7 linked regions of the Mus musculus genome follow. The protein of the gene in region 1 purifies or fractionates together with the protein of each later gene. This does not show direct contact. Links are inferred from orthologs where the notes say so. Each region holds a gene or a part of one and is shown in the gene's direction. Other genes may lie near its edges.

Region 1 (3,500 bases):
TAGCCTTGCATCTGTGGCAATAATTTCATTTTATCTTTTATGTCTACTACAGGAATAAGTTTTGCCTTATTTCATTTCATTTCAACCTAATTTTGAGGTATGAAGATTGACCATAGCAAGCTCTGTTTTTCTGTCTAGCCAAAGAGAAGAAATTCAAGTTTTGTGTCCACTTCTTCTTTTTTGTGAAACTAGGTATGTGAGAAAGAGAGCAGTCCTAAATTGGTGGAACTGTTGCTTAATGGTGGTTGTCGTGAACAAGATGTACGGAAGGCCCTGACCGTAAGCATCCAAAAGGGCGACAGCCAGGTCATCAGCTTGCTCCTCAGGAAACTTGCCCTGGACCTGGCCAACAACAGCATTTGCCTTGGAGGATTTGGCATAGGAAAAATTGATCCTTCTTGGCTTGGTCCTTTATTTCCAGATAAGTCATCCAATTTAAGGAAGCAAACAAGTAAGTACCAATAAGAATGTGTCGTCTCTTACTTCAAGTAGACCCAACAGCATTGTTTTGAACCTAGGACTTTGTACATGCTACACAGACACTATCCCACCAATGCACTGTACACAAACTCAATCATCATGGTAGATAATTGTATTTTTTTAAATTTTACAATCTTTTTGTAGTAGATTATAAGCATGGTGATGTCAGTTAGCTTTTCCCACTCTTGGAATCTTAGTGTCTATGTTACTACTTTACATGTGACATATGGTCATAGGATATTCATAAATGTGCAAGGGTGAGCTGGTAGTAAATGATACAGAAAGCATGTGCTATATAGCAAGAACTTCACACATCAACGGTAATTAAAAGTGTTCTTCCTGAGGACCGTTGTTCACTACCTTTTGATGTTTTCAATCCATGTACTTTTGAATTTTTTTTTAAATCTAATGTATACAATGTTTTATTTGTATAGGGAAAGACATACACATAAAACATTTTAATTATTTACTCTTTCACTTATGATGTATTCTTAGACATCCAGGATACAGATTTTTATGTATGAGAATATACATGAAAACTATTAATAAACGTTATAAAAAGATTAGGGGGAAGAGAGAAATACTCAAAAACACAAAACAAAACAAAACAAAACAAAACAAAACAACAAACCATGGGAAAGCCATCCAGTGACTCCTTTGCAGTCACACAGGAGAATCAGGCAGCAAACTTAAATGTGGATAAACACGGACCAGAGAGGTTCAGACGGGAATTGTGAGGCCAGGGTCGGCAGTGTAGTAAGAACCTGGTCGAGAAAGGATTACAAACTTAACATTGTAATGGTGTTTTGATTGCTGAAAATTCCATTGGGTTGTGTTAATCACACTTAGGTAAAAATAGAACACTGTATTGAATAATAGTTCTACAAATGATGCCCCTCCTCTTCCCTCCGTTCCCCTTCCCTCCCCTCCCCCCTCTCTCCTTTTCTTCCATCTTCTCTTTTCCTTCCCCCATCTCTATATCCCCTTCTCTTCAGGGTGTCTCTGTGTAGCCCAGGCTGACCTGAAACTCTCTAAGTAAAGTAGATTGAATTTAAACTTGAAGGCAAACCCACCGTTGCCTTCTGAGCTGTGGGATCATAGATGTGAGCTACCTTGCTCACCTTTGTTCTCTGATTTCTGGCAGAATGGGTTTGTGACCTCGGATGTAAATTTGGTATTCCTTTAATTTCATGTGAAGATCTTACAGTGGCAAGTCTTGATGTAATTTTCAAAGTGTTAATGTCACTTGGGCTGGAAGATAAAATCACGATACCATTGGTTGCTTGTCTAAAGGAAAAATTTGAATGCATAGCATTGAAATATTTCTCAGGTCTTATTTGATTGACTCACATATTGTATTTATTATGAAGAAATCTCCTAGGGTTTCTGTAGATCAATGGTGACTGCCAGCACATTTCTTCTTGGTATAAAATAAATATAAAATGTAATGTAAACTTGAGAAGAGAATTGCCTTAGGGTTGAAATTCATCATAAGCAACTTGGGGGGGAGAGGGTTTATTTTCAGTGAAGCCTGCCAGAGGCAAGAGCTAGTACAGAGGCCATGGAGGAGGCTGTTTACTTGGTTACTCCTCATGCCTTGTTCAACTTTCCTTTATACAGCACTTAGGACTACCAGCCTAGGGATGGTGTAACCCACAGTAGGCTGGGCTCTTCCATATCAACCCCCAATTAAGAAAATGCCCCACAGGACTTTCTATCACCCAATCTCATCATGGCAGTTTTTCAACTGTGATTCCCTCCTTTGAGGATGACCCTAACTTGTGTCAAGGTGGCATAAAATAAGCCCGCACAGGTGTTAAAATTGTATCACATGAGCCACTGAACAAATTTTGTTTGTTACAAATTTTAGCATTGTCATAAGATTTCATAATCATGTTATTTAATTTTCTATAATCCTGCTCTGAACAGGCCACCTACTTGTTCTAGGTAAGTTGATTTGTCCTGAGAGAGCTTAATGAGCTTGCAAGTGGCATCACATGTGACAGTCCAACTCTGCCCTGAGTTAAGTTAGCTTCATGTCTGAAAATGCCCATAATACCCAAGCCTCATATAGCTGCAGCACAGATACTAAAATTAGAATGTAATAGAAAAGAGTATATGGCAAATATACACTATTACTGTATATAGTAAAGTTATTCTTCAAGGAAAAATTATTTTAAAAGCATCAGGTCTGTATAAGGAGCTTGAGAAAGGTTATGTTTATGCTGGATAATTACTGATTTCGTTTGATTTATTTTTAGACACAGGATCTGTCCTAGCGAGGAAAGTGCTCCGGTATCAGATGAGAAACACCCTTCAAGAAGGCGTGGCCTCAGGCAGTGACGGCAAGTTTTCTGAAGACGCGCTGGCGAAATTTGGAGAATGGACCTTTATTCCCGACTCTTCTATGGACAGTGTGTTTGGCCAGAGCGATGATCTGGATAGCGAAGGTATCTATTTCAAACAGATCCACTGTGGCTCATAGCTACACGCTGGCCTTGAATGCTGTAGCTCAAGAAACTGTGCGCTGCATCCCAGTGTGAACCAAAGGGCTCAGGCATGCAAGTACACACTTACAGCAAGATGACTCTCACACCGGAGTTGCTGTCCATGCGCTGATACCACTAGACTTTTGTGGCTCTGTCATTTTCTTAACCTTTATAAGTGAATGATGCCAGCCTTTCAGGGTTATAGGTAGAAAATCAAGAAATTCTAAGGAAAGAGTCTGGACTACACTTGGAAAGTTATTTCTTCTCTCTCTCTCTCTCTCTCTCTCTCTCTCTCTCTCTCTCTCTCTCTCTCTCTCTCTCTCTCTCTCTCTCGTTCCTTTTCTCTCTTTCTTTTCTTTTTGGTTTTTCCAGACAGGATTTCTCTGTGTAGCTTTGGCTGTCCTGGAACTCACTCTGTAGACCAGGCTGGTCTCAGACTCTGAAATCCTCCTGCCTCTGCCTCCCAAGTGCTGGGATTAAAGGTGTGCGCCACCATGCCCAGCCGGAAAGTTATTTCTTAACTTTATTATG
Region 2 (4,282 bases), on another chromosome or scaffold:
CTGCCTCCCAAGTTCTGGGGTTAAAGGCATGTGCCACCACTGCCCTGCTTAATTTGTTTTTTTTTTGAGAGTAGGACTTGCTATGCAAGCCTGGCCGAGCCTTGAATTAGAATTCCTCTTGACTCAGCTTCCCAAGGGCTGGGGTTACAGATGTGTGTCATCATGCTAGCTAACAGGTCACTCTGGCCACAGAAAGCAGCATTTCCTGGTTTTGGCGTTTGTATTGGGGGTTGAACCTAAGATGTAACACATACTAGGCAGGTGCTCTGTCACTGAGCTATATCCCTATGCACCAAATTCCCATTAATGATATCTCCCGGGTATATCCCTACTAAGCTAAATCCTCATGACCTGTATCCCTACTAAGCTAAATCTCTATAAGCTGTATCCCTACTAAGCTAAATCTCCTGTATCCTTACTAAACTGTATAGCCAGATTCTTTATTCCCGCCCCCCAGCACCCAGACTTTTTTTCTTTCTTAGAAGCCTCATGCAGCCAAGGCTGGCTTTGAACTCTGGAACCTCTGACCTCCCAAGTACTAGGATCACTTTCTATTTTGAAACAGTTTCACCAAGTTGCTCAAGCAGAATATCTTGAACTTGGTCTTTTCCTGCCTCAGCACCTCAAACAGCTGGAATAACCAACCTGTGGCACAGGACTGGCTATAGCTTGTATTTTGGTTCCTAGATGGAGGGCAGGTGGTCTGATCCCTTTGTGCTTTGAAGCCACTAAGGCCTGAGATACATGTACCTTCCGAGAGAGAGAGAGAGAGAAAGAGAGAGAGAGAGAGAGAGAGAGAGAGAGAGAGAATATGAATGTGTGTGTATGTGTGTGTGTGTCTGGGCTGCAGTGAGGAATCTCTGGTTGCAATGAACAGGTTGTGACTACTGCTGCCTCTGGAGCCCTGGCTACCCCTCTTACAGGGTGGGTTTGTGAGAAGTCACCAGTGCTTGTCCAACACCTCTCAACCTGATCTTTGTTAAATTGGGTGAGGCCTAAGATGGTGGGTGATGTTCCTTTATTCAGTGAGGGGCTGGTCATGGTGGATGCCTGGAAGGGGGTGGGAGTGGGGGCTACTACCGGGGACACTATGTTTAGGAGGGTCGGAATAGCATCCTGTGAGACAGCCTGTTTGGCTAAAAGAATGGCTACCTGACAGTAGACATCTGTGTCCTCCTAGCTTCTGGGCCGTACATCCCCCCTGGCTTGGGGACGACACTGCTGAGTCATAGGCAGGCCCAAGCCTGGGAGGTACCTAGGCTCGATACTTACGGGTCCTTTTCCCAACGACTTGAGGCTGAGGCTGGTCTCTTGTGGTCACCCATGTATTCGGTGGGAAAGAAAAGAGTAGGCAGTGGGGTCGTCTCGACCCCGTACCTTTCAAGGGTCCCATCAAGGGGGCTCCAGCGGCCGCCCCAGCCTAGGGGAGGGGCGGGGCTCATAGAGGCTCCGCCCCCACGAGGCGGGGCTCCCCCGTTTTCTATAAAAGCTGGGCTCTCGGCGCCGCCGCTGCCCAGCTGTTTCGTCCGTACCTAGACCGCGGTTATGGCGTCGTTCACGGTGAAGGCCTATCTTCTGGGCAAGGAGGAGGCGACCCGCGAGATCCGCCGCTTCAGCTTCTGCTTCAGCCCGGAGCCGGAGGCGGAAGCCCAAGCCGCGGCCGGCCCGGGGCCCTGCGAGAGGCTGCTGAGCCGAGTGGCTGTGCTGTTCCCCACGCTGAGGCCTGGCGGCTTCCAGGCGCACTACCGCGGTGAGGGCCTGGGGCGGGGAAGCCAACCTCCCCCGCCAGGGAGTAGTAGGTCTGGGCGAGGACGAGGCGGCGTGTCCTCTGGCTCCCCGCGGGGACAGGGTGGTCAGGCGGCCGCTCAGGTTACATCTAACATCCAGCGGTTCGCTTGCTCCCCGTAACGCCCGGTGGTGGGTTCAGTTAAAGCCCCGGAAGACCTGGGACCAGGCAGACGTGGAGGAGGGGTGGAGAGGAGTGACGCGGATAAATAAGCAGCGGGGGCGGGGTGGGGCAGCCCGTGGGAAGGGAGGTAGGGGACCCCGGAACTAGCTCAGTCTCTTGCGTTGGAGTGGCTGGTGGCTGCATGGGGTGGAGCTAGAGGTTGTTGACAAGAGACGAGTGGACAAGACCCTCCCTGTGGGAGGGAATGGTTTTGCGATCTCTATGGAGGACTGTGGGTAGGCCAGGTTGGTTGGTCAGTCTCTCTCTTTTCTGAAATAAAGCCACGTAGCCTGATTGGCCTGGAATTCACGAGTGGTTTAGGCCGTCCTCAATCACTCCAATCCTCTTGTCTCAATTTTCTAGTGCAGGAATCACAGGGACTACTGGACAGAAAATTTTCAGTGTAACTGCGTTATAACCTAGGACCTGTGCAATTCACCCAGTAAAAGTGTATAACGATTATTCTTTCGTATTAGCAGAGACAGGTCTTACTATATGGCCGGGATGGCCTGTATCTCTAAATTGTCCTTCTGAGTCATCTTTGTGCTAGGCATCCAGTCCAGGGCTTCATGCATGTTAGGCCCTCGAGCAACTGAGCTACCTCCCCAGCTCCTTGCATTTAAAAAAAAAAAATGAGTTGTATAACTATTTTCACATTCGGCTTAGAATCTCTTCATTGTTTTATAAATTTTATTTATATATTACATAAAAATTATATAACAATTATTGTAATAATTATTATTTTATTATATAATTTTTTTCCTGTTTGTCATCTTGTATCCTTTCCAGTTCCAGGCAATGGCTGGTCTACTTTAGTATTCATTTTACTATTAGGAATTAGAACACATTAAAATGGCTTTTTTTTTTTTTTTTGGTTGCTTTTTCAAGACAGGGTTTCTCTAGGTAGCTTTGGCTGGTCTGTAGACCAGGCTGGCACAGTGAATCTTTGTTCATTCACTTATTAATATGTCTAAGGCCCATTTGTATTACAGCTCTCACTAGTACATCTTCCCCCCTCCAGTACTGGGAATTGAACCTAGGGCTTTGCATATGCTAGTCAAGGGCTCTATTTCTGTACATGGGCAGTATTTAATTTCTTTTTGTGTATGAAGAATAGTCTTCTTTGAATATGTCATGTTTAATTTATCTGGTCTGTAGTTTATGGACACTGTTTCTTTTGAGGCAATCTCTCTCATCTCCCTTATGGTAGCTGTTGCTAAATGGTTGCTCAGAGGCTCAGTCCAGCCTGCAGGTGTGTGGTTTTGGCCTGTATAAGGTTTTTGTACTGTATCAGGTTTTATACAGACTATTTGTACTGACATAGAAGCATATGGCTGTGATCCCAGTTATTGTGAGCTAACAAAATGAAGCCAGATGGGTTTGAGAAATCGCTCAATGGTTAAAGCCTTGGCTGCTCTTCTAGAGGACCCAAGTTCTGTCCCTAGCACTCATCACAGCTGCAGGTCCTGGAGACCCAACACCTCTTCTGGCCTTTGTGGCACACACATACACTTAAGTGTGTGTGTGTGTGATGTGTACATACAATATTAAAAAAACAAAACAAAACCTGGAAGCCTGGTTGCATGTTTGTAATCCCAGCACGAAGGCGGCTCATCCACAGGTTGTAGGCTGTCCTGCTCTAAGTAGTGTCAGGCCAGGTAGGGCTACATACTAAGATCCTGCCCCTGAAAGCAGAAAACATAGAATTGACAAAAACAGAACAAACAACAACCTCAGAACAACTTAGATGCCAGGCATGGTGGCTGCACGCCTTTAATCCCAGCACTTGGGAGGCAGAGGCAGGCAGATTTCTGAGTTCGAGGCCAGCCTGGTCTACAAAGTGAGTTCCAGGACAGCCAGGGCTATACAGAGAAACCCTGTCTCAAAAAACAAAACAAAAAAACACCAAAAAACCCAAGAACAACTTAGATGGAGCCTGAATGTAGTGGTTTCTAGCTGTCTAGTTGAAGGGAGGGGACAGATGGACTTACGTCCTTTACTTCTGAAGCCTGAGGCCTTTGAAGGGCTGGGCCATCAGGACTAGGGTGGGATCTCCCAGGTGATGGACCCACACCTGGTTAGGCGTGGCCTGAGGGCACAGGTGGCCCAGTGGTTAGTGGCAGGAAGCTGGACCCTTATACACATATACACATGACATATGTTCTGCCTTCTGCATGTAACTAATCTAGGACCTAGGTTGGAGTACATATTCATGCCGTATCGGAATGAACGGCCATCTTGCTGCTTGGCTCAGCAGCCAGGTTGAGTGTAGAGCCTTAGTAGATGTCCCTTTACCACTGGGCTCTGTACACTGCAGCAGATGCTGGGTGCCTC
Region 3 (2,813 bases), on another chromosome or scaffold:
CAACCAGCTCGGTGTGGGTGGGAATCTTGCTTCTCTAAGGGAAGGGGCTCCGTGACCCAGTGAGCTGTTAGGGAACTGGGCCTGCTCCGCCCAGGAGCTCCACAAAGGAGAAACCACTACCACCCATCCCACTGAAAAAACGGCAGATGCTAGCTAGCTGCCTTTGATCAAGGGTGGGAACTGGTGATCACAGCTCAAGTCCAGGGTCCAAGTACCACTGCATTAAAAGGCATCTGGCCCTTTAAAAACTGGAGCTTGCCTTCTGTGCGTGAGCATCTGCGTGTGAGCGTGAGTTCCTGGCTGCCTGGGAGGACGCCACGGGGAGGGCATTGAAGTGAATCCAGGTGGCCCCAGGGATGGGTGGCCTCCCTTTCTTCCCCCACCCACCCCCCTGTGTATCCTCTGGGTATCTTGAAGGCTGCAGCCTGACGCATGGGGTCTAGGGAGTGAGGGACTTCACGCCCTTGTGAGATGGTGGGCGGGGAGAGGGGCTTCTTTTTCTGATAGGCCCCTTTTACCACTCATTCTGTCCTTCTTTCTTTCAGGTGGCACAAGACTTGAAATTGCTTTGAAGGTGAGGACATCCCCTCCCCCACCGCCAGCCACCACCACCAGCCACCTACATCGTCCTCATCAGCCCCTCCCCATCAGTGCCTCCACCAACATCACCCGGCCTGACTCCTGCTTCACTTGGTGTAAATGGCTGATAAGCAGATCAGGTCAGAGGGACCCCAATCCCTGGGCTTTTGGTCTTGGCTTTTGGTCACCCCCCCTCTCCAGCATGACCTCCCTATCCCCCTGTCCTGTGGGTGAGGATGTTAATCCTGACACTTGACCCTGCACACACAGCCTGCCGGCCAAGCTCATCAATGGTGGCATCGCTGGGCTAATCGGGGTCACCTGCGTGTTCCCCATCGACCTGGCTAAGACACGGCTGCAGAACCAGCAGAATGGCCAGCGCATGTATGCCAGCATGTGAGTGAGAGCTGCCTAGGAGGGGTGAGGGTGCAGCTGCCACCTTTTATCTCTGCTCCTGCACCCCTGAATTTGATGAAGGGGGAACAACACAGGGCAGACCTGAGAAAGATTCCCCCACCCTACCCTGACCCTGACAGAGTCTTTGGCTTCTCTGTCAGCCTTGGATGAGCATAGTGGGTAGAGACAACACTGGCTGCCCTTGCCTGACTCGGGGCCAGGGTCCAGCTGGCCACCACTTATTGCTGTCCCCTTGACTACAGGTCTGATTGCCTCATCAAGACCATCCGCTCCGAGGGCTACTTCGGCATGTATAGGGGTGAGGCCTGGGAATGGGTGACAGATGGGTCTGGCTGGGAGCAGGGACAAGGGATGCATGTCTGGGCTTGGTCTGTAAGTATAGACGTGTGATACTGGTAGCACCTGAGCACAGTGGGGGCACCTGCCATCCCCTCATGCTGGGGGGACTGGATGTCTGGGGGGATAGTTCTTCTGCAGGGTGGCAGGTCTCAAACCTCACCTGAAACACCCTGCTGTCTTCTACTGGTACAGCAGGACAGAGGTTGTTTCTTTTTCTCTATTGTAGTGGCTTAGGTCTCCTCCACTACTTTCTGTGACAGGCAGGACCACATCTGTGCCTAGAGACCAGGGGCATTAAACAAAGCAGCTTAGGAAACAATCCCTGAGGGTGGATTTGCCCAGATGCTGTGTAGCCCTGAGCCCTCAGCTCTGATCAGCCATCCACAGCCTTCTCTGAGCCCTGACCCATACTGTAGTCCTGCCAGTGGGAGCACCTGTCCCCAGGAGGGAGGACCCCCCCACATAGTCTTTGGAGGCTTGCTCCTCATTGCCTCTCAGGAGAGACCTGTTCTGCCAAAGCCAGAGACAGATGGAGGTGGAATGCTGGGGAGGGAGGACACAGCGCCACCCCATCCCGCCTGGTTCCCCCGCCTGCCTGGCACAAAACAAGCCCATATGTGGGTGAGAGGGCAGGAGGCTGCAGCCAAGGAGTGCCAGGCAGGGCTTTGCCAGTGTGGAGCAAAGTGCTCTCCCAAAGCTTCCCTAACCCAAGCTACCCAGCGAGTCTGTCCCCACCCGACCTACCTGTGTCCCCCAAGCCTTAGCTGACCCTCAGATGCCCCACAGGAGCAGCAGTAAACCTGACCCTGGTCACCCCGGAGAAGGCCATCAAGTTGGCAGCTAATGACTTCTTCAGACACCAGCTCTCTAAGGATGGGTGAGAGGCTCGGCCACGCTGGCTGCTGGGGCCCAGGTCCTAAGGAAGGGTGTGTTGCTAACCCCACCCATCACGCCCCAGAAGTCCCCTAGACTGAAAACAGACCCCAGAGGCTCTTCTACCTCGGTCCCTTTGCGCACCATCTCTGACCTTGTGGGGGCGGGTGCTTGCCTGCTGCCCACGTGAGGAGGTGCAAGGCAGCTGCTGAGTCAGCAGCTGTTGGCCCCTAGCCACCATCTGCTGCCAGAATTTGGGGGCATGAAGCAGTTACCCCATGACTGGACTGTGGGGCTGCAAGGTTGGCCCCTTCTCTTCCCCATTTCTCTTTATGAGCCCTTACGTGTGAGACCATCTGTCCTTTGGGCTGGACGCCTGTTGCTGGAGAGTCTGGAGCCCGAGGTTGTGCCCCTGTGGGACCTCCACAGTTCCCATCCCCCTTTACACCAGTGAATCAGACTGTCCCTGCCCCATGTAGGGAGTTGTTTCTCATCACCTCAATCATAGTCCTGCCCCCGCTCTATAGACAGAAGCTGACCTTGCCTAAGGAGATGCTGGCAGGCTGCGGGGCCGGCACCTGCCAGGTGATTGTGACCACCCCCAT
Region 4 (4,279 bases), on another chromosome or scaffold:
GGGCTTCGTTCCCCAGCTGGCGCCGCACACCACCCCCACCCCCGGGTTGTGGCTCGAGCTGTTGTTCACGAAGTAATGAACCATCCTTCCCCTTGAGGCCGCAAGGCAGCACCTGTCGCAGACTCACCTCCTCCCCAGGGAGTCCCCGTCCAAGGGGTGGGGCGCTTTGGTGCTTTGGGTTCTTACTCCCCCTATCCTCCCTAGACCAAGTGTATACCCTCGGTATATGCTTCAGGTTCCTTACAAAGGGCGAGGAATAGATAAGGCACTTGAGAACCCTTTGCAAATGGTAGATATAGGGGCGGACGCTTTCTTCACTAGACAAGAAGATTGGACTCTCCCCCAAGTCCCTCAGTGCGTGTAGAATGAAAGAGGAAGAGGGTAGTAGTGGTGTTGATGGCTTGGTCAGTGCTTCATTTCAGGCAACCCAACAATTCTGGCAAGTATCAGCCAATCGGCCTCTTAAGGCACTTACTCATGATCATCATCCTGCTAGTAAGCAAAGGCCAGGCTGGTTTTGTTGTTGTTGTTTTGTTTTACCGTAGACATCCATATGCCACAAGAGGTGGCAACTGACCCAAAGTCCACTCCACTCCTCTCACACACTCTTCTCGGGCCTAAAAAGGGCTGATGTCGTCAGAGAACCAGCGAGGGTGCTGGACAGACAAGGAAGACAGCTGATGGCCTGTGTTCAGGGAAGAGCGGAGATCCAGAGGGAAGAGAAAGAAGGGAAGAGAGGAGAGGAGCCCATGGGGCAGGGCACTGAGTCCGGAGGATATTCAGGCTGGAACATAAGGTTATTGGCTGCACACGTAGGAAAGTCAGAAGGGTGCTGCCTACTCGGCAAACAGGCTTCTTTAGGGGTCATGCTGGGTCAAAAAGGGCACCCTGCTCTGACCCTAGGATTTGTTTCTTAGCTAGGGAAGAGATCTTTCAAGAGATGTTTCTCTTCTGGCTCTCTTGGCACAAGTTTGTAATCTTAGTACTCAGGAGGCTGAGGCAGGAGGCATCTTGAGTTCCAGGCCAGATTGGGCTCCGTAAAGAGACCCTGTCTCAAACAATTTCTTTTCTAAGGATTTAAAGAATGGAGCCAGTCCTTTGGGAGTGTGTATGGGGGTGGACAGTGTCCCGTACAGAGGCTCCGCCTGTCCCGGGGCGCCGGCCGTATTTGGACATTTCGTTCTATTTTTAACTTTCCCGGGACTCGAGGTTGGGGGTGGGGAGAGAAATCCTGCTTCCCCGGTGACCCACGGGCTTCAGCCCTCGTCTCGCGCGGGGTGTCCAGCCCCGTGCTGTAGACACGAGCCCGGAAGTGAGTTCCGGAGCTGTGTAGACGCGGCGGCCGCGCGGGTTCCGGGCCCCACCCTGGAACTAACGACGTTCCTCCTGGAAAACCTGACTCAGGCGGAGCCCGCGGCACGCAGGAGGCCCCGCCCCTCGCGCGCCCCCTCTTAGGTCCCGAACCCCCTCCCACCCAGCCCGGCCAGGCCGGCTGCAGTGGGTCCTAGGGTCGGGACTCCGAGCCCCCTGAGCCAAGGGGCCTGCAAGGGGCGGTGCAGGGGGCGGGCTGGCCCCTCCCTCGGTTACGCCGCGGCCGAGTACAGACCAAGAGGCGCGGGCAGCGGAGCGGGGCGCCGGGTCCGGCAGGATGCGCTACCGGGCATCGGTGAGCATGGGCGCGGGCAGGTTTGGGGTCCAGGGTATCTCTCGGTGGCCCGCGGCGCTCCAGGGCCGGCCTTGAAGCGGGCGCGGCCCAGGAATTTCGGTGGAAGATGTCCCTGAAAGTTGCTAGAACAGGAGGCCGAGGCGGAGAGGGCTGCAGAACGCTCGAACCCAGGACCATGTGGTCGCCCCTGGTGATGGCTAAGACCCCTCCCACTTGAGGACCAGGGGGCGTTGGCTGCGGTGGTGTTTGGCAGCAGCTTCGGGCTGGGTGGGTCAGGGGTGGGCAGGTCTGAGGGAGACAGGCCCTGGACTTGAGGGGTGACGGAGAAGCAGAGAACTGAGCAACTAGGGCTAGAAACCAGGGTCAGGGGAGACTTGGTGACCTCCCTGGAATTTACAGCGGCTCCCAGTACCTTCCTCTTCCTTGACACCCCCCTACCCCAGCATTTTCTAGATCTGCAGGCCCTCTTTGAAAGGAAAGCTCTGCTTAAGACGCGGCTTGAGGGTCTAGCTAAGCCTGTACCTGCCCCACCCTTGGGTGGCAGCTGGGTTTCCCCTGGGAGAACCCTCCACCTCCTGAGGCTTCTCAACGGTGGAGGAGCTGCGGGAGGAGGGGGGGCGGGGGGGGAAGCCTAGCAGCTGGAGAGGAGGGAGTGGCTCCAGTTGAGGGAGGGCAGGCCACCCGCTTCTGGGGTGGGCATCAAGTCCAGCTGAGGTGGTGGCCCATGGGGAAACCCTCTCCTAGGACGTGAGCTCTGGCTTGATCCCTAAACAACTTCTACTTCTGGGAATTTGGGGTGGATGGGAGTTGGAGAGATGGCCCCTCCCTGTCTGCAGAATTCCCTCTGAACCGTTTGTCCTCCAAAGCACCTGTAACACGTAGCTGGGATTTGAGGTCACCTGAACTAACCCACTCCTGTTCTCTGAAGAGGAAGCAGTCCTGAGAAAGGAGGAGGTTTGTCCAAGGTCAACACCAGCATTCTTTCTGCCGTTCCTAGGAGCTCCTTGTCATGTCCCACCTTCCTCAACTCAAAATGCCGCTGCCCTGGATTCCATGCAGTCGTTCAGTGTCTGCTGGGCCCTTTGTGCTCCTATGGGCTGTGTGCATGGTCCATATGTCCCATAGGGTCTCTTATCTGCATTCCAGCATCCTGCAACCCAGCCATATGTCCGGAACATGTTCTGTAGCCTGTGTCCAAAGTGTCCCTGCCTTCTACATCCTGCAGGCAGGGTAGGAAACGAGACTTTAACCTGCAGACTCTGACAGCGTCTTGTGGCTGGTTCCTCACAGGCCCTGGGCAGTGACGGGGTTCGAGTGACCATGGAGAGCGCCTTGACTGCCCGAGACCGGGTAGGGGTGCAGGACTTTGTCCTGCTGGAGAATTTCACCAGTGAGGCTGCCTTCATTGAGAACCTCCGGCGGCGGTTCCGGGAGAACCTCATTTATGTGAGTGCCATGAGCACGGCTGGGCCCAAGGACCTAGGGGAAGGTGGCAGCAGGAACCTTCAGGAAAAGCCTCTGACCCTTCTCCCCCACCCCCCCAACCCCCAGACCTACATCGGTCCTGTCCTAGTCTCTGTCAATCCCTACCGAGACCTACAGATCTACAGCCGGCAGCATATGGAACGCTACCGTGGTGTCAGTTTCTATGAAGTACCACCTCATTTGTAAGTGATTCCCTTGCCTTTCCAGGAGTGACCTACCCTGTCCTCTTGCAAGATGACCCCATCCAAACCCCACTTTGAAATGATTCCCTGACCCCTGGGTGACTCACTGGTCACTACTGAGAGGAATCCCATGGTTGTTCACCTATGGTCACCTCAGTTCTCATTAGTTGAACTCTGAGTTCTGTCCACCAACCAGGACCCTCAGCTCCTGAGCTCAGTTCCCATCCTGAAGTATTCCTTTAACTATCTTAACATGGCCCACCTGTGAGGACTCCCAGCCTCATTCAAGTACCCAGCTTCCCCATGGCTGGCACCTCACTTGGAGTGATCCTCAGCTGGGCAGGTGTACCCTGTGAGGGCTTCCCACCTGTCCACCCCCTTCTCCATCTTCCAGGTTATAACCCCCATATTTTACAAGAGTGGTTCCCGTCAGGTATAGGTGGGGTACCACTCTGGGAACTCCCTGACAAATCTCTGCCCCAGGTTTGCAGTGGCTGACACTGTATACCGGGCACTTCGTACTGAGCGTCGGGACCAGGCAGTGATGATTTCTGGAGAGAGTGGGGCAGGCAAGACAGAGGCCACCAAGAGACTGCTCCAGTTCTATGCAGAGACCTGCCCAGCCCCTGAACGGGGTGGCGCAGTGCGAGACCGCCTGTTGCAGAGCAACCCCGTGTTAGAGGTGAGGAGACTGCAGCATCTGAGGAGAGGGGTAGACAAGACAATGCCAGGCTTCCCTCACATTCCTGTCCCCGACTCCCCACCTTCAGGCCTTTGGGAATGCCAAGACTCTCCGCAACGATAACTCCAGCCGGTTTGGAAAGTACATGGATGTGCAGTTTGACTTCAAGGTACCTGTGGGTATAATAAGGAAGGGGTGGGTTAGCCATTCAGTGATTCAATATTTGTTGAGTGCCTACTACGTGCCAGGCACTCTTCCAGGTGC
Region 5 (3,995 bases), on another chromosome or scaffold:
CACCCTATCATTGAACTATCCGCAGTCCACTGCATTCCGCTGCTAACTCCACTACTTCCTACCTCCTGAGCACGGCCACTTCGCCCCTACCCAGGATCCATATAGGGAAATGGGGAAAACATCACCTGCAGTCCCTCGTCGCTCAGAGTGGCCCCAAACAGAGCTGGAAGGTCTGCAAAGTCCATGCTGGCATTGTGCTCCGAAGTCTGCAGACGGAACACTACGTGTTTCAGTCTGAACCCCATTCTCAGCACCCTGTCCCCGTCCGACCCTCAGACTCACCGCTCGAATCAGCCCTCGGACAGGGGCTGCTCCCCACAGTACAGTAGCCACGACAACAGGAAGCGGGAAGGCCGCAGGGTGCATGGCAGCGGGAGGGGTAAAGCTGCGAAGGTCGCGTTCTGATCGCAGGAGCAGAAGCCGAGTCCTGCGCCCTCCTCTGCCTCTCCTTCAGGATCCCAGGGGTCCAACCACCCCTAGGTCCCACTTCTCAGCTACATGGGGGCGTCGGGGAAGGAACTCCGATTCAGGGAGTGAGCTATCAAACCAGCTTAGCGGAGCTGGTAGGGGAGACAATGTATCTTTCTCTAGTACAGAAATAGGACAGAATAGGAGCGAAGGCAAACAGGTAACAACAACAACAAAAAAACTTCCGGAAGGGTAGGAGAAACCTCAAAGAGGTGGGACTTCCGGCCAGGTAGACTGTCTTCCTATGCCCCTGGAAAAGGGTTTCCGGTAAGAAAGGCCAATTCCAGTATTGGACGCTCAGGACGGAGGACTTCCGGTCCCGAGAGGCCGGTTGAAAGAAATGTTTGACATGTAGAAGGAGCCTGCGGAGATGGAGGGAGCTTCGATGCTCAGGAGACGATCTAGTTTTTTTCCCTCAGTCCCTGAGATCCTGGAGCTGCCCTGTTTACAAACCTCTCCTTCGTCTGGCCGCCACGGTACGTTCAAAGTATCGCGAGAGTGCTTGCCACCACCCTCCCTCCACCCCCCCACCCCCTTTCGCCGCTGAAATATATCGCGAGAGGCCTCATAGCCCGAACTCGGCTGATTCACTTGCTCTCGCGAGGTTTTCAAACAAGCTTTTTTTTTTTTTTTTTCCCCGCGATTCCAATTCCGGAGGGGCGGGAATTTAGGGTAGCTTCCTAAATCGGCCACGCCCCTTCATCGTGCATCTTAGCCCCGCCTTATTCCCCGGCTGCCTTTGCGCTCCGAGCCTGCGCCCGCCCCAGCTTCCAGCTGGAGCCAGATTTGCCTGTCGGAGGGGCGTGCGCGCGCGCGCCCTCACCCTGTTGCGCGCTGGTGTCACCTTGGGCGCGAGCGGGGCTGTACGTGCACGGGACCCAAAGCCGAGGGCCATCAAGGGGCGATGGCGGCGACGGCGAGTCCTGGGGCTGGCCGGATGGACGGGAAACCCCGTACCTCCCCTAAGTCTGTCAAGTTCCTGTTTGGGGGCCTGGCTGGGTAAGCTCAGGCCCCAGTGATGGGGGAAAAGGAGGAAGGGACGGGAGCAAGCACCTGGGCCCAGTGTAACTTGGGGTGTGTTGCAGTAAATTGAGCCGGTGCAGGGTCCCTGATGGGTTGCCAGGATCTATTCATCCTTTGCAGGGACCCAACTGTGCTGCATTCAAGGATCTTTACCCTGTGTTTCCACCACCTTTGCTTCGTTGTGCCTGTTTGGGTGGTGGGTATAGGTCATTAAAGGCTTTGTTATAGGACTGCTTGGAGTCTTAGGATGGGGACGCCCTCTCCACCTTTCTTTAGATCGCCTGTAGTCCTAATTCTGCTTGAACCCTAAAGAACTGCCTGAGGCTTTTTGATTTGCATGCCCCTTACTGGGCAACTGGACTCTTTTGCTGGCACGTTGCCCTTGATGCACACACTTAACACACATGCCCACCAGCCTCCTGAATCCTTAGTGGCCCTGACCTTTGTAACTTCTTGCCAGGTTGCAGTAGAGCTGGAACCACTGACCTCTGATTCCCTTTCCTGCCTCACTTCAGGATGGGTGCTACAGTCTTTGTGCAGCCCCTGGACCTGGTGAAGAACCGGATGCAGTTGAGTGGTGAAGGGGCCAAGACTCGAGAGTACAAAACCAGTTTCCATGCCCTCACCAGCATCCTGAAGACAGAAGGCCTGAAGGGCATTTACACTGGGTACTGTGGCCTCAAGTTGGGGAGGGAAGTTGTTGGTTGGCAGGTCCAGACCTTGGCCTGATGTGCTGACATTTCTACTCTTCAGGCTGTCAGCTGGTCTACTGCGCCAGGCCACCTACACCACTACTCGCCTTGGAATATATACTGTGTTGTTTGAGCGCCTGACTGGGGCTGATGGTACACCCCCTGGCTTTCTTCTGAAAGCCCTGATTGGCATGACTGCAGGTGCAACTGGTGCATTTGTGGGAACGCCAGCTGAGGTGGCTCTCATCAGGATGACTGCTGATGGTCGGTGAGTTCCGTTTCTGAGCTTAACTCCAGCCCCATTCCTGGACTCTAGGATGGTGTTGTTAGTCTATATCTACATCAGGGCACTTACCTATTCAGGCTTCCCTTTCTTTGTTCCATGGACCCTGGTCTGTCCTGATCTTGGCCTTTCCCTGCCTTTCCCCCAGGCTTCCAGCTGACCAGCGCCGTGGCTACAAAAATGTGTTTAATGCCCTAGTTAGGATTGCCAGGGAAGAAGGAGTCCCCACACTGTGGCGGGTGAGTGCGAGGGTTGGAGTCTTGGGCCATGCTGGGTTAGATCTCTGGCACTTTTGACTGTCTCCATTGCCTCCACCCTCCACCTCCAGGGCTGCATCCCTACCATGGCTCGAGCTGTCGTTGTCAATGCCGCCCAGCTTGCCTCTTACTCTCAATCTAAGCAGTTCTTGCTGGACTCAGGTGAGAGACCCAGAGCTGAGAACTTGAGCCTGGCCTGAGCTACCTGAGAGTTGACTACCACCTTTTGCTTCACCTCCCAGGCTACTTCTCTGACAATATTCTCTGCCACTTCTGCGCCAGCATGATCAGTGGCCTCGTTACCACTGCTGCTTCCATGCCTGTGGACATCGTCAAAACTAGGTGAGTCTGCAGCCTGGGACTGGAGAACTTGGGGAGGCCCCCCTTTCTGGTTTTCATGTTCATACTGACTCTCTTTCAGGATCCAGAATATGCGGATGATTGATGGGAAGCCAGAATACAAGAATGGGCTGGTGAGGAGGGGGGGGAAGGGGTGCCCTGGGAGGGATGCGAAGGGAGCTAGGGACAGGGGACAGAGCCTGGACCAGGACCAGGGCCTAGCCCCAGCACTTGCCTGCCTGTCTGTCTAGGATGTGCTGCTGAAAGTCGTCCGCTATGAGGGTTTCTTCAGCCTGTGGAAGGGCTTCACACCATACTATGCCCGACTGGGCCCCCACACTGTCCTCACCTTCATCTTCTTGGAACAGATGAACAAGGCCTACAAGCGTCTCTTCCTCAGTGGCTGATCTGGCATGGTCCCAGGACTAGTGTGCCAGGCTTCCAAGCCATCCACTGCTATTACAGTCGCTATGCCCTGGAGGACCTGGATTCTGCTACCCTGGGCTATTCTATTTATTTTCCCTCTCCAGTGTGGTTTTCTCCTTTGCGGTAAAGAACTTAGTCTGTTCTCCCCCTACTCCAGCCTGCCTGCTGTGCTTGCCTGATGCTTAGAATCACTTTGCCCCTGGCTCTTCCTGAGGAGACCTAAGACACACACCAAGGATTTCTAGTCTCCTCTTGGGTGTTAGATTCAGGGCACACCAGACAGCAGATCCCTCTCTCTGGGGAATCCAAGGCAGAGCTGAGGAGACAGGAGAAAGCAGAAGCTGTCAAGATGACAAAGGGTCTATGGTGGAAGATGTGGCCTTCCTCCTCCCTGAGGACTTAATAAATTGGATTGAAATACCAACCCCAAATCTGGATAGTCTTAAGGATCATAGGGGGAGGTAGCTGCACAAAGAAGCTTATATCTCTGGAAAACAAACTGGAGTT
Region 6 (4,169 bases), on another chromosome or scaffold:
AACCTGTGGGTTACAACCCCTCTGGCAAACCTTGTCTCCAAAAATATTTACATTATGACTCATAAAGTAGCAAAAATTACCATTATAAAGTAGCAACAAAAATATTTTGTGATTGGGAATCACCACAACAGCATTAGGAAGGTTGAGAAGCACTGATTTAAGAGATCAGGCATCCTACACACTTTTTCTACGCGTACCCCTTCTTCTAGATCTCTCCAATAAAGGGCAGCCTACCTAGATCCACATGACTTTGTGTAGAATATAATGGTCATGGTCACTCTTCAAGGCAACCTTTCTCTGATCCAGATCCTTAGTAAGCCTCCATCAATTCCCATGGTTTGCCTCTAGGCCAGCAGTTCAGAACCTCTGGGGTCGCTATCCCTTTGGATCTCACATATCAGATATCCTGCATAACAAATATTTATATTTTAATTTATAGCAATATTGAAATTACATTTATGAAGTACAACACAATAATTTTATGGGTGGGGAGTCACCACAACATGAGGAACTGTATTAAAGGATTGCAGCATTAAGGAGGTTGAGAAATAGTGCTCTAGGCTTTGTACACTTGTCTAGGTCTCTAAGGTCACACCAAGCTTAGAGACTATTCTACTCAGCCAGAGAAGACCTCTCCCCCCAGAATTCCTCAGGGCCCAAGGTAGAACAGTGAGTATGGCAGGTACAAGGTGTACAGATCTACATGCATCACAGGGCAGGCAGGCAGGCAGGCAGGCAGGCGCCCTCTGATTGTGTGCATTGGCATACCCTGGACCTTTGGAAAGCTGCTTGATCCTGTAGTGCTGGTGGCCACTTGGCCCAGTGCTGGCCCCATTTCCTCGCGAATGGAACTAGGCATTAGAGAAGACGACGGTGGGAATGGGCCTGTGCAGGTGTGCAGGCCAGGGTCATGGAGACTGGGAAGACCAAAGGAGATGGGTAGGGAGTGCCAGGGCTCTGTGGGTGTCTATGTTAGGTGATGAGAGCCCTGTCTGACAGCATACAAAGAGCTCTCAGCAGCGTTAGGCGCTCTGGAAGGGTTCGCTCTCAGGATTGCTTTACACTGCTGTGGATCACACTGTGGCTGAGAATCCTAGGCACTGGAACACCGGGGGAATAAAATCAGGAATGAAGCCAGTAACAAAAGTATGTGAGATCTCACAGGTTGGGAAATCTCACAAGCCGGTTTTGGTCAAATCACTTGCCTCATCCCTAGTAAGTTGCGCTCTAAAGCATCCTCTAGTGAGGTCAGCCAGCTCCGCCCCTCGGCGGCCTAGCTCTCAAAGGAAGTCTCAACCGCTGCCGCACGAGTTCTGAAAGCTCCGCCTTCTCCCTGTTCGAGCCAATCTCTCACAAGCGTTACGTTTCTGTTTGCCAGCCCAGCCTGTTCCCTCAGCTAGACCGGTCTGCACCGGCCGTTCTGGCTAGTTTGGGCCTGCCCTGAGGAGCGCGCGCAACCTGCGTAGCCGCGGCTGTGACGCAAATGTGACGGCGGCGTGACGCGCCCACAGCCGCTCTTGAGGCTCTGGCGCTTCTTCTTCTAGGCTCCGAGCGGTTGGTTTCTTGGGCCCTGTCTGTAGGCCCCGGCCGCCCCTGGCGTTCAACACCGCTTCCAGGTGCCGGCCTTGTCTGCCATGGACGACTATGCGGTTTTGTCCGATACTGAGCTGGCCGCAGTGCTACGCCAGTACAACATCCCTCATGGGCCTATTGTGGGTATGCTGCACCCGGTGGCGCTCAGAACCTCTCTTGGTCCACTGCTTTCCCGCGCTCCTCCCTGAGCGTTCTCCCCACCTCTCCCTCCCCTCAAGTCCCCTCCCCGTGTTCCCTTGTGCTCTTGGGGTGCTCGGCTCACGCCCTCTGACCGCTTCGCACCCTGTGTCTGGGCAGGTTCCACTCGCAAGCTCTACGAAAAGAAAATCTTCGAGTACGAGACCCAGAGAAGGAGACTCTTACCCCCCAACTCGTCATCTTCTTCATTCTCCTATCAGTTCTCAGGTGAGCCCTTAACTGCAGAGCCCCAAAGAGCAGCTTGGGGCACACGTCTTAGGGAGGGAGGGTGTGGCCGAAGCTATTGAGGGAGTAGGGGGAAGGCTGGAGATCGAATGGTCCTGTCCCTCCTCCTTCACATGCAGACTTGGATTCAGCCGCCGTGGACTCAGACATGTATGATCTGCCCAAAAAAGAAGACGCCTTACTTTACCAGAGCAAGGGTAAGGCAGGTATAGGGTGGGCACTGATGTTTTTATCCCATGCTTCCGGGATTTGGGCACAGGGAAACCCCAGACCTCCCTCACCTCCTTGTACCAGTTCTCAGTGGCTTCAGAGGGGAGAAACTGACACAGCACACACAGGCTGGGGAGGGAGAAGAGGAGGCCAGTTAAGGGGCACCACTTTTTCCTCTACCACTGTTTTCCTCCCCAAGACTATAATGATGACTACTATGAGGAGAGTTATTTGACCACCAAGACATACGGGGAGCCTGAGTCTGTGGGCATGTCCAAGAGCTTCCGCCAGCCGGGGACCTCACTTGTAGATGCTGATACCTTCCATCACCAGGTGAGTTGGCTGGTAGGTATACCTGGGGTGCAGCCTTAGGGAATTCTAGGTTTGGATAGGTGCAGAGAGTGGATCTTAGGCTTTCAAATCTGGTTAGGGTCAGCATACAGCTGTCGGGTTAAAAATTCTATGTTGGAACCTTCAAAACTATTGGATTTGGGGATGCTCAGCAGAAGAGTATTTACCTATGGTTTCATCTCCAGCAGCACATAACAAATGTTTTGGGGTTTTGGCTTTTTTAAAAGATTTAATTACTTTAATTATACATATGTGTGGCCAATTTTTGTTAGTTTGTGGGTATTTCCCCCCCCCCACTTCACCCCCAGTAATGAAAAATTCCCAGAATTCCAAATATCACACAATTGTAGAAACTATCTGAAACTCACAGAAACACACCTTTGCTAAAAGCATGAGGCAACTCATAGTTAGCTGCTGTGAAGCAGCCCCATATTCCACACCTAAGATTAAAACAAAAACATATTCTTACAATATTTCTGTGTTTCTTAAAAAAGCCAAAATTCCAGAATTCTCACATACATGTCTGTGGGTAGTATGCATGAGTGCTGGCACCTACAGAGGTGAGAATTGTCATATTCCCACTAGAGCTAGAGCTACAGGTAGTTGTAAACTGCCTGATGTGTGTGCTGGAAATTGACCTCAGGTACCTAGGAAGAATAATATGTGCTCTTAACCAGTGAACCACCTCTTCAGCCCACAAACTTTTTTGATCAGAGAATATGTAACAGCTCCTGCACTCTAGTAATTAATCTACGATATAGATTTAAGCCTCCTGAGAATCCAGGGGAATAAAAGGATGCTGGAACAAAGTCAACAGGGTTAGTAACTGAGCAGCAAGGCCCCACAGATAAAGAGGCTCCACATACTCAGAATGGGGGAGGGGGGGGCAATTTTCTGGTCCCTATGATATGATTAGAGCAGGCTAGCCAGAGACATTTAAGGAAAACCATTCTTCCCCATTTCTAATCCTAATTATTCTGCAGGTGCGTGATGACATTTTCTCTTCTTTAGAAGAGGAAGGCAAGGATAGGTGAGTAGTGAACATATGTAGGGACAGGGACAAATTCGAGTCTCAGACTCTCCTGCCTACCTGTTGCCTTCTTTTGCCACAGGGAGCGCCTCATCTATGGCCAAGACAGTGCCTACCAGAGCATCGCACACTACCGCCCCATTTCCAATGTCTCCAGGAGCTCTCTGGGCTTATCATATTATCCTACATCCTCCACCTCTTCTGTGTCCTCCTCTTCATCTTCTCCCTCTTCATGGCTTACCCGACGTGCCATTCGGCCAGAGAAGCAGGCCCCTGCTGCTGCTCTGGGCCAGGATCGACAGGTCCCACTCTGGGGCCAGCTGTTACTCTTCCTGGTCTTTGCTGCCTTTCTGCTCTTTGTTTACTATTCCATACAAGCTGAAGAAGGCAACCCCTTCTGGATGGATCCCTAAGGGTATTGGTTTTAGAGCAGCTCTTACCAGGAGTTTTGGCTGATTGCCTTATCGGTGTTTGCTGGGGGTGGGGAGGGTAGGGGCTTTTTTGTGTGTTCTAGTTGGGTGCAAGGTCTAGCCTAAGGCAATGCTTGTCTCCCACCTCATCC
Region 7 (4,144 bases), about 7.2 Mb from region 1:
TCTGGCTGAGCAGCCTTGGGGAGAGCAGCTACAGTTCCCACAGTCAGAAGCCCAGCTGCGGAAGGGGCTATTTACAGAATTCAGGGAACTACATAAAACTGCAGCAGGGCTGGCACTGCACAGTTGTCTGGGGATGAAAACATCACAAAATGGTTTCCTTTTATATTATAAAACGCTCCTCTTTTTAATTTGGCATCTCAGTTATTTTTTACTTGATATCACCCCTCCCCCTCCAAAAAAAAAAAAAAGACTGGAGAAATACAAGCCCACACAAAGAGCTAGTTTTTAAACTCAATTCTTTCTCCTTACAGTTTCTGAATTCCATATTAGAAAGGATGGCTCATTTCTAGGGACAAAATAACACAGGCTCTGGGGTGAGGTAGGGTGGGGTAGGGGGGCGGGCACGGAGGGGTGATGGGAGAGAATTACAGCTAAAGAAAGAAAGCTCTCTAGTATTAAGTACTACTTTGTATATTATTTCTCTCTTCTCTTCTTTCTTTCTTTCTTTCTTTCTTTCTTTCTTTCTTTCTTTTTCTTTTGGTTTTTGAGACAGGATATCACACTATATATCCAGGGTGGGCACAAATTAGCTGCAATCCCCGGCTTCCCAGTGCTGGGATACACAGGAATAAACCACTAAGGCCAGTTAAGATGACCTTGAGCTGCAAGTCTTCCTGCCTCTGACTCCCAGGTGCTGTTGAGGTCACAGGCGTGGTCTACTCGTACTGACTTTTGCTCAAATAATAATAAAGAATAACAATAATACAATAACTATGAAACTAAACATTCAGCCACGCCTTTTTGACCACCCCCGTATCTTCTGCTACTTTTTAAAGCAAATAGAGATGTTGAATTCTGACAGAACGTAATTAAATTCAGTATATTAAAAATGAAAAGCTGGAATTTTCCAAAAAGATTCTAAACATAAATTCTGTGATTAAGTGTTGGGAAAAACCTTAGATGATTTTTAAATACAGTTTAAGGTTTAAACTACGTATAATCATCCAACCCCAGTTTTCTTTCTTCCCTTTCCACCCCTCCCCAACTCCACCCCATAATGGATGCTCGGCTAGCTGCCTTTGCACGGCCTTTGTCTGAAGGATGCAAAGTCTACGGATGCTAGGGGGAAGGGGTGGGGGAGAGATTACCTCATACCATGTCGCTTGCACCAATCACCACTCTCCTGTCGCGGCTTCTCTGGGCAGACAGAGGGGTCTGGACCAACAGGAAAAGGCCCTGGCCCATCCCCATGGTGACAGAGCTGTATATAAGGAGCCGCATCCGCCCAAGTGCCGCAGGTTCTCTTACATCGACCGCCTAAGAGTCGCGCTGTAAGAAGCAACACCTCCTCCTCGCCTCCGCCATCCACCCGGCAGCCGCGAAGCAGCAACCATGGTGAGCAAGCCTTCCCCGGCTCTCGGTAGATAGAGGGTGGGTGTCAGTCGCCCCAGATCTGCAAGGAAACGTCTAAGGCTTTGGTCACCTCTGCGGGGAAAGGGTGGTCTCCATGCTTTAAGTTTATCTTAGTCTTTGAGTCCCGCCGCCGCAGTGCGGGACACGGAAACGCCCAGACCGGGAAGAACAAAGGCAGCGCCGATGAGCTAGCGCTGGCAGAGCCAGGGACTGCAGGGGACCACGGGGACCGCCGGGGACGGGTGGGGGATCGAGGGTCCGCTGCTGTAGGAGGGCAGGGGCGGCGGCCGAGCCCGAACTCCAGAAACACCGCCCCACTTCGCTAGGAAAATGTTTAGTTTGCGTCGGATCCATGGCAGCCGCTGTCAGGGAGGCGCAGGGGCGGGGTTGTTTGTCTCTTGCTTCCGTGGCGTTTTGGGAGGGGTTGGTTCTCACTAAGCCTCTTCCGAGCGGTTTTTTTTTTTTTAATTATTTTTATTTTTACTTTAAAAAAAATCGTTGTGGAACTGTAGTCATGGGATGTTTCGTCTGCAGGGCTGTCAAAAATACGATTTGCTTAACGGGGACATCTCGCTGAGGGGGGAGGGGAGCTGGATGGTTGGGGAATGACAAAGCCCACTTTGTGAATCCTAGAGTACGCTGATGGTCAGAACCCAGGGAAACGCCCTTCCCCGCCCCCCACCCCCGCAGACAATGAAAGTAGTCCCTCCACAACAGACGTGTATCTCTATAGAATGAAATATTAGTGGTATGTAGAGATTCATAGGATAAAAATATTATTTTCTACTTTTAAATTTAGCTATCTTTTCACTTGTTTTTTTAAAAAATGTTGGCGCTCATTGTTTCTAACTTAGCCTGCTTTAAGAATATTTCCATTCCATACAGTGGAAAACCTTCAAAAAACAATGGATTTTCTGCAAAGAAAAAAATTATACTCTGCACCCAACCATCTTTTGTTCTAATAAATGTGCACTAATTCATTAATTCAGGCTAATGGCCCCAGCCAGGGTTAGGAGGGACCATGAAAGCAGCACAAAGAGATCGCATAGACAGCTGCTGGAAATAGAGCTTTCTCTGTTAAATAATGTAACAGCACAGGCTAGCACCAGGCACAGAGAACGTGGCAATGCAGAAATCAGACTTTGTCTAGCTTGTCGACTAGCCAAAGTACTGATGGGGTCTGTCTGCAGAAGGGTGTGGCTCCTGGCCTCAGCCGCACTGCAGATGTCAGTGTTGAAATAGAAGGTCCTATAGTGTGAGACTCTTTATTATGTAGCCTAGCCAGAGTACTGATGGGGTCCACAGAAGGGTGTGGCTGTTGGCCCCAGCCGCACTGCAGATGTCCATGATGAAATACCAGGTCCTATAGGATGAAAACTTCATCCTTACTTATCGGGTAAAGAAGCAATTAGTATTATTATGGATAATTATTTTGTTTTACAGAATCTATGCTTTAAATATTTTTCAAATATGAAAGCTGTTCTATTCAAGCAAGGCTTTGGAAACAATGGGTTTGCACCATGTCTTAAGCAGTATTAAGGTGACATCTAGGCCACACCCACTTTTGGTGTTTGTAGTGAGTACTCCTCATTGTTCCTGTTATTAGGGATGTGACTCCAAATAAATTTCAACAATATTTCTATTTTTAGAAACACTTTAGAAATCTATTAAGATCTAAAATAGAAATACAGCTTAATATTATAACAGCTTAATTTTATAATTTTTTTCCCTCTTTCCACAGCGTGAGTGCATCTCCATCCATGTTGGCCAGGCTGGTGTCCAGATCGGCAATGCCTGCTGGGAGCTCTACTGCCTGGAACATGGCATCCAGCCTGATGGCCAGATGCCAAGTGACAAGACCATTGGGGGAGGAGATGACTCCTTCAACACCTTCTTCAGTGAGACAGGAGCTGGCAAGCATGTGCCCCGGGCAGTGTTCGTAGACCTGGAACCCACGGTCATCGGTAAGCTGGCTGGGGGCTTCCCCAGGCATTCCTTCTTGGTCACATACTCAGAATCTCTCTCCAGACCCAGAAGGGTGAGTGAGCTTGTGTGTGTCCTCGGTGGCCGATGGCTGACGTCTTCTCCCTTTGCAGATGAAGTTCGCACCGGCACCTACCGCCAGCTCTTCCACCCTGAGCAGCTCATCACAGGCAAGGAGGATGCTGCCAATAACTATGCTCGTGGCCACTACACCATTGGCAAGGAGATCATTGACCTTGTCCTGGACAGGATTCGCAAGCTGGTAAATGCCATATATGGATGGGTTTAAAATGCAGTGGGAGGGTGTCTTGGTATCTGTCAGAATCTGTCAAGTCTTTTCTATCAAGCAAATATGGCTCCCAATCTAAAGGAATTGCAAATAGTGCTAAGAGTATGCCCTCCTAATAAAACATTACATTTCCTTTTCTCCCACAGGCTGACCAGTGCACAGGTCTCCAGGGCTTCTTGGTTTTCCACAGCTTTGGCGGGGGAACTGGCTCTGGCTTCACCTCCCTGCTGATGGAGCGGCTCTCTGTGGATTACGGAAAGAAGTCCAAGCTGGAGTTCTCCATTTACCCAGCCCCCCAGGTTTCCACTGCTGTGGTTGAGCCCTACAATTCCATCCTCACCACCCACACCACCCTGGAGCACTCTGATTGTGCCTTCATGGTAGACAATGAGGCCATCTATGATATCTGTCGTAGAAACCTCGACATTGAGCGCCCAACCTACACTAACCTAAACAGGT

The links.
Region 2: the proteins of Lrrk2 (region 1) and Sqstm1 purify together in Homo sapiens (affinity purification with western blotting; 3 studies listed by BioGRID and IntAct, with this or other methods). This does not show direct contact. The link is inferred for Mus musculus from reciprocal best matches to the Homo sapiens genes LRRK2 and SQSTM1.
Region 3: the proteins of Lrrk2 (region 1) and Slc25a22 purify together in Homo sapiens (co-immunoprecipitation; 3 studies listed by IntAct, with this or other methods). This does not show direct contact. The link is inferred for Mus musculus from reciprocal best matches to the Homo sapiens genes LRRK2 and SLC25A22.
Region 4: the proteins of Lrrk2 (region 1) and Myo1c purify together in Homo sapiens (affinity purification with mass spectrometry; 3 studies listed by BioGRID and IntAct, with this or other methods). This does not show direct contact. The link is inferred for Mus musculus from reciprocal best matches to the Homo sapiens genes LRRK2 and MYO1C.
Region 5: the proteins of Lrrk2 (region 1) and Slc25a11 purify together in Homo sapiens (co-immunoprecipitation; 3 studies listed by IntAct, with this or other methods). This does not show direct contact. The link is inferred for Mus musculus from reciprocal best matches to the Homo sapiens genes LRRK2 and SLC25A11.
Region 6: the proteins of Lrrk2 (region 1) and Emd purify together in Homo sapiens (co-immunoprecipitation; 3 studies listed by IntAct). This does not show direct contact. The link is inferred for Mus musculus from reciprocal best matches to the Homo sapiens genes LRRK2 and EMD.
Region 7: the proteins of Lrrk2 (region 1) and Tuba1a purify together in Homo sapiens (affinity purification with western blotting; 4 studies listed by BioGRID and IntAct, with this or other methods). This does not show direct contact. The link is inferred for Mus musculus from reciprocal best matches to the Homo sapiens genes LRRK2 and TUBA1A.

Annotation. Positions count from the first base shown.
Region 1 is NC_000081.6:91,728,724-91,732,223, forward strand, and holds part of Lrrk2 (leucine-rich repeat serine/threonine-protein kinase 2), read left to right. Parts: intron 1-192; coding exon 193-451; intron 452-2,741; coding exon 2,742-2,930; intron 2,931-3,500. UniProt on the Homo sapiens protein: Serine/threonine-protein kinase which phosphorylates a broad range of proteins involved in multiple processes such as neuronal plasticity, innate immunity, autophagy, and vesicle trafficking.
Region 2 is NC_000077.6:50,208,021-50,212,302, reverse strand, and holds the start of Sqstm1 (sequestosome-1), read left to right. Parts: upstream 1-1,482; 5' UTR 1,483-1,545; coding exon 1,546-1,750; intron 1,751-4,282. UniProt on the Homo sapiens protein: Molecular adapter required for selective macroautophagy (aggrephagy) by acting as a bridge between polyubiquitinated proteins and autophagosomes.
Region 3 is NC_000073.6:141,432,062-141,434,874, reverse strand, and holds part of Slc25a22 (mitochondrial glutamate carrier 1), read left to right. Parts: exon of another isoform or gene 1-466; intron 467-545; 5' UTR 546-699; coding exon 700-719; intron 720-849; coding exon 850-975; intron 976-1,238; coding exon 1,239-1,294; intron 1,295-2,121; coding exon 2,122-2,212; intron 2,213-2,716; coding exon of another isoform or gene 2,717-2,735; coding exon 2,736-2,813. UniProt on the Homo sapiens protein: Mitochondrial glutamate/H(+) symporter. Responsible for the transport of glutamate from the cytosol into the mitochondrial matrix with the concomitant import of a proton. Plays a role in the control of glucose-stimulated insulin secretion.
Region 4 is NC_000077.6:75,654,536-75,658,814, forward strand, and holds the start of Myo1c (unconventional myosin-Ic), read left to right. Parts: upstream 1-1,479; 5' UTR 1,480-1,648; coding exon 1,649-1,666; intron 1,667-2,956; coding exon 2,957-3,112; intron 3,113-3,217; coding exon 3,218-3,333; intron 3,334-3,816; coding exon 3,817-4,015; intron 4,016-4,103; coding exon 4,104-4,184; intron 4,185-4,279.
Region 5 is NC_000077.6:70,644,240-70,648,234, reverse strand, and holds the start of Slc25a11 (mitochondrial 2-oxoglutarate/malate carrier protein), read left to right. Parts: upstream 1-1,195; 5' UTR 1,196-1,372; coding exon 1,373-1,467; intron 1,468-2,006; coding exon 2,007-2,159; intron 2,160-2,244; coding exon 2,245-2,451; intron 2,452-2,614; coding exon 2,615-2,705; intron 2,706-2,794; coding exon 2,795-2,885; intron 2,886-2,965; coding exon 2,966-3,065; intron 3,066-3,144; coding exon 3,145-3,196; intron 3,197-3,313; coding exon 3,314-3,469; 3' UTR 3,470-3,995. Other genes in the region: E3 ubiquitin-protein ligase RNF167 isoform 1 precursor, read right to left, coding at 126-206, 283-366. UniProt on the Homo sapiens protein: Catalyzes the transport of 2-oxoglutarate (alpha-oxoglutarate) across the inner mitochondrial membrane in an electroneutral exchange for malate.
Region 6 is NC_000086.7:74,253,318-74,257,486, forward strand, and holds the start of Emd (emerin), read left to right. Parts: upstream 1-1,369; 5' UTR 1,370-1,634; coding exon 1,635-1,716; intron 1,717-1,890; coding exon 1,891-1,998; intron 1,999-2,135; coding exon 2,136-2,213; intron 2,214-2,425; coding exon 2,426-2,559; intron 2,560-3,560; coding exon 3,561-3,607; intron 3,608-3,689; coding exon 3,690-4,020; 3' UTR 4,021-4,169. UniProt on the Homo sapiens protein: Stabilizes and promotes the formation of a nuclear actin cortical network. Stimulates actin polymerization in vitro by binding and stabilizing the pointed end of growing filaments. Inhibits beta-catenin activity by preventing its accumulation in the nucleus.
Region 7 is NC_000081.6:98,950,702-98,954,845, reverse strand, and holds the start of Tuba1a (tubulin alpha-1A chain), read left to right. Parts: upstream 1-1,344; 5' UTR 1,345-1,392; coding exon 1,393-1,395; intron 1,396-3,154; coding exon 3,155-3,377; intron 3,378-3,509; coding exon 3,510-3,658; intron 3,659-3,831; coding exon 3,832-4,144. UniProt on the Homo sapiens protein: Tubulin is the major constituent of microtubules, a cylinder consisting of laterally associated linear protofilaments composed of alpha- and beta-tubulin heterodimers.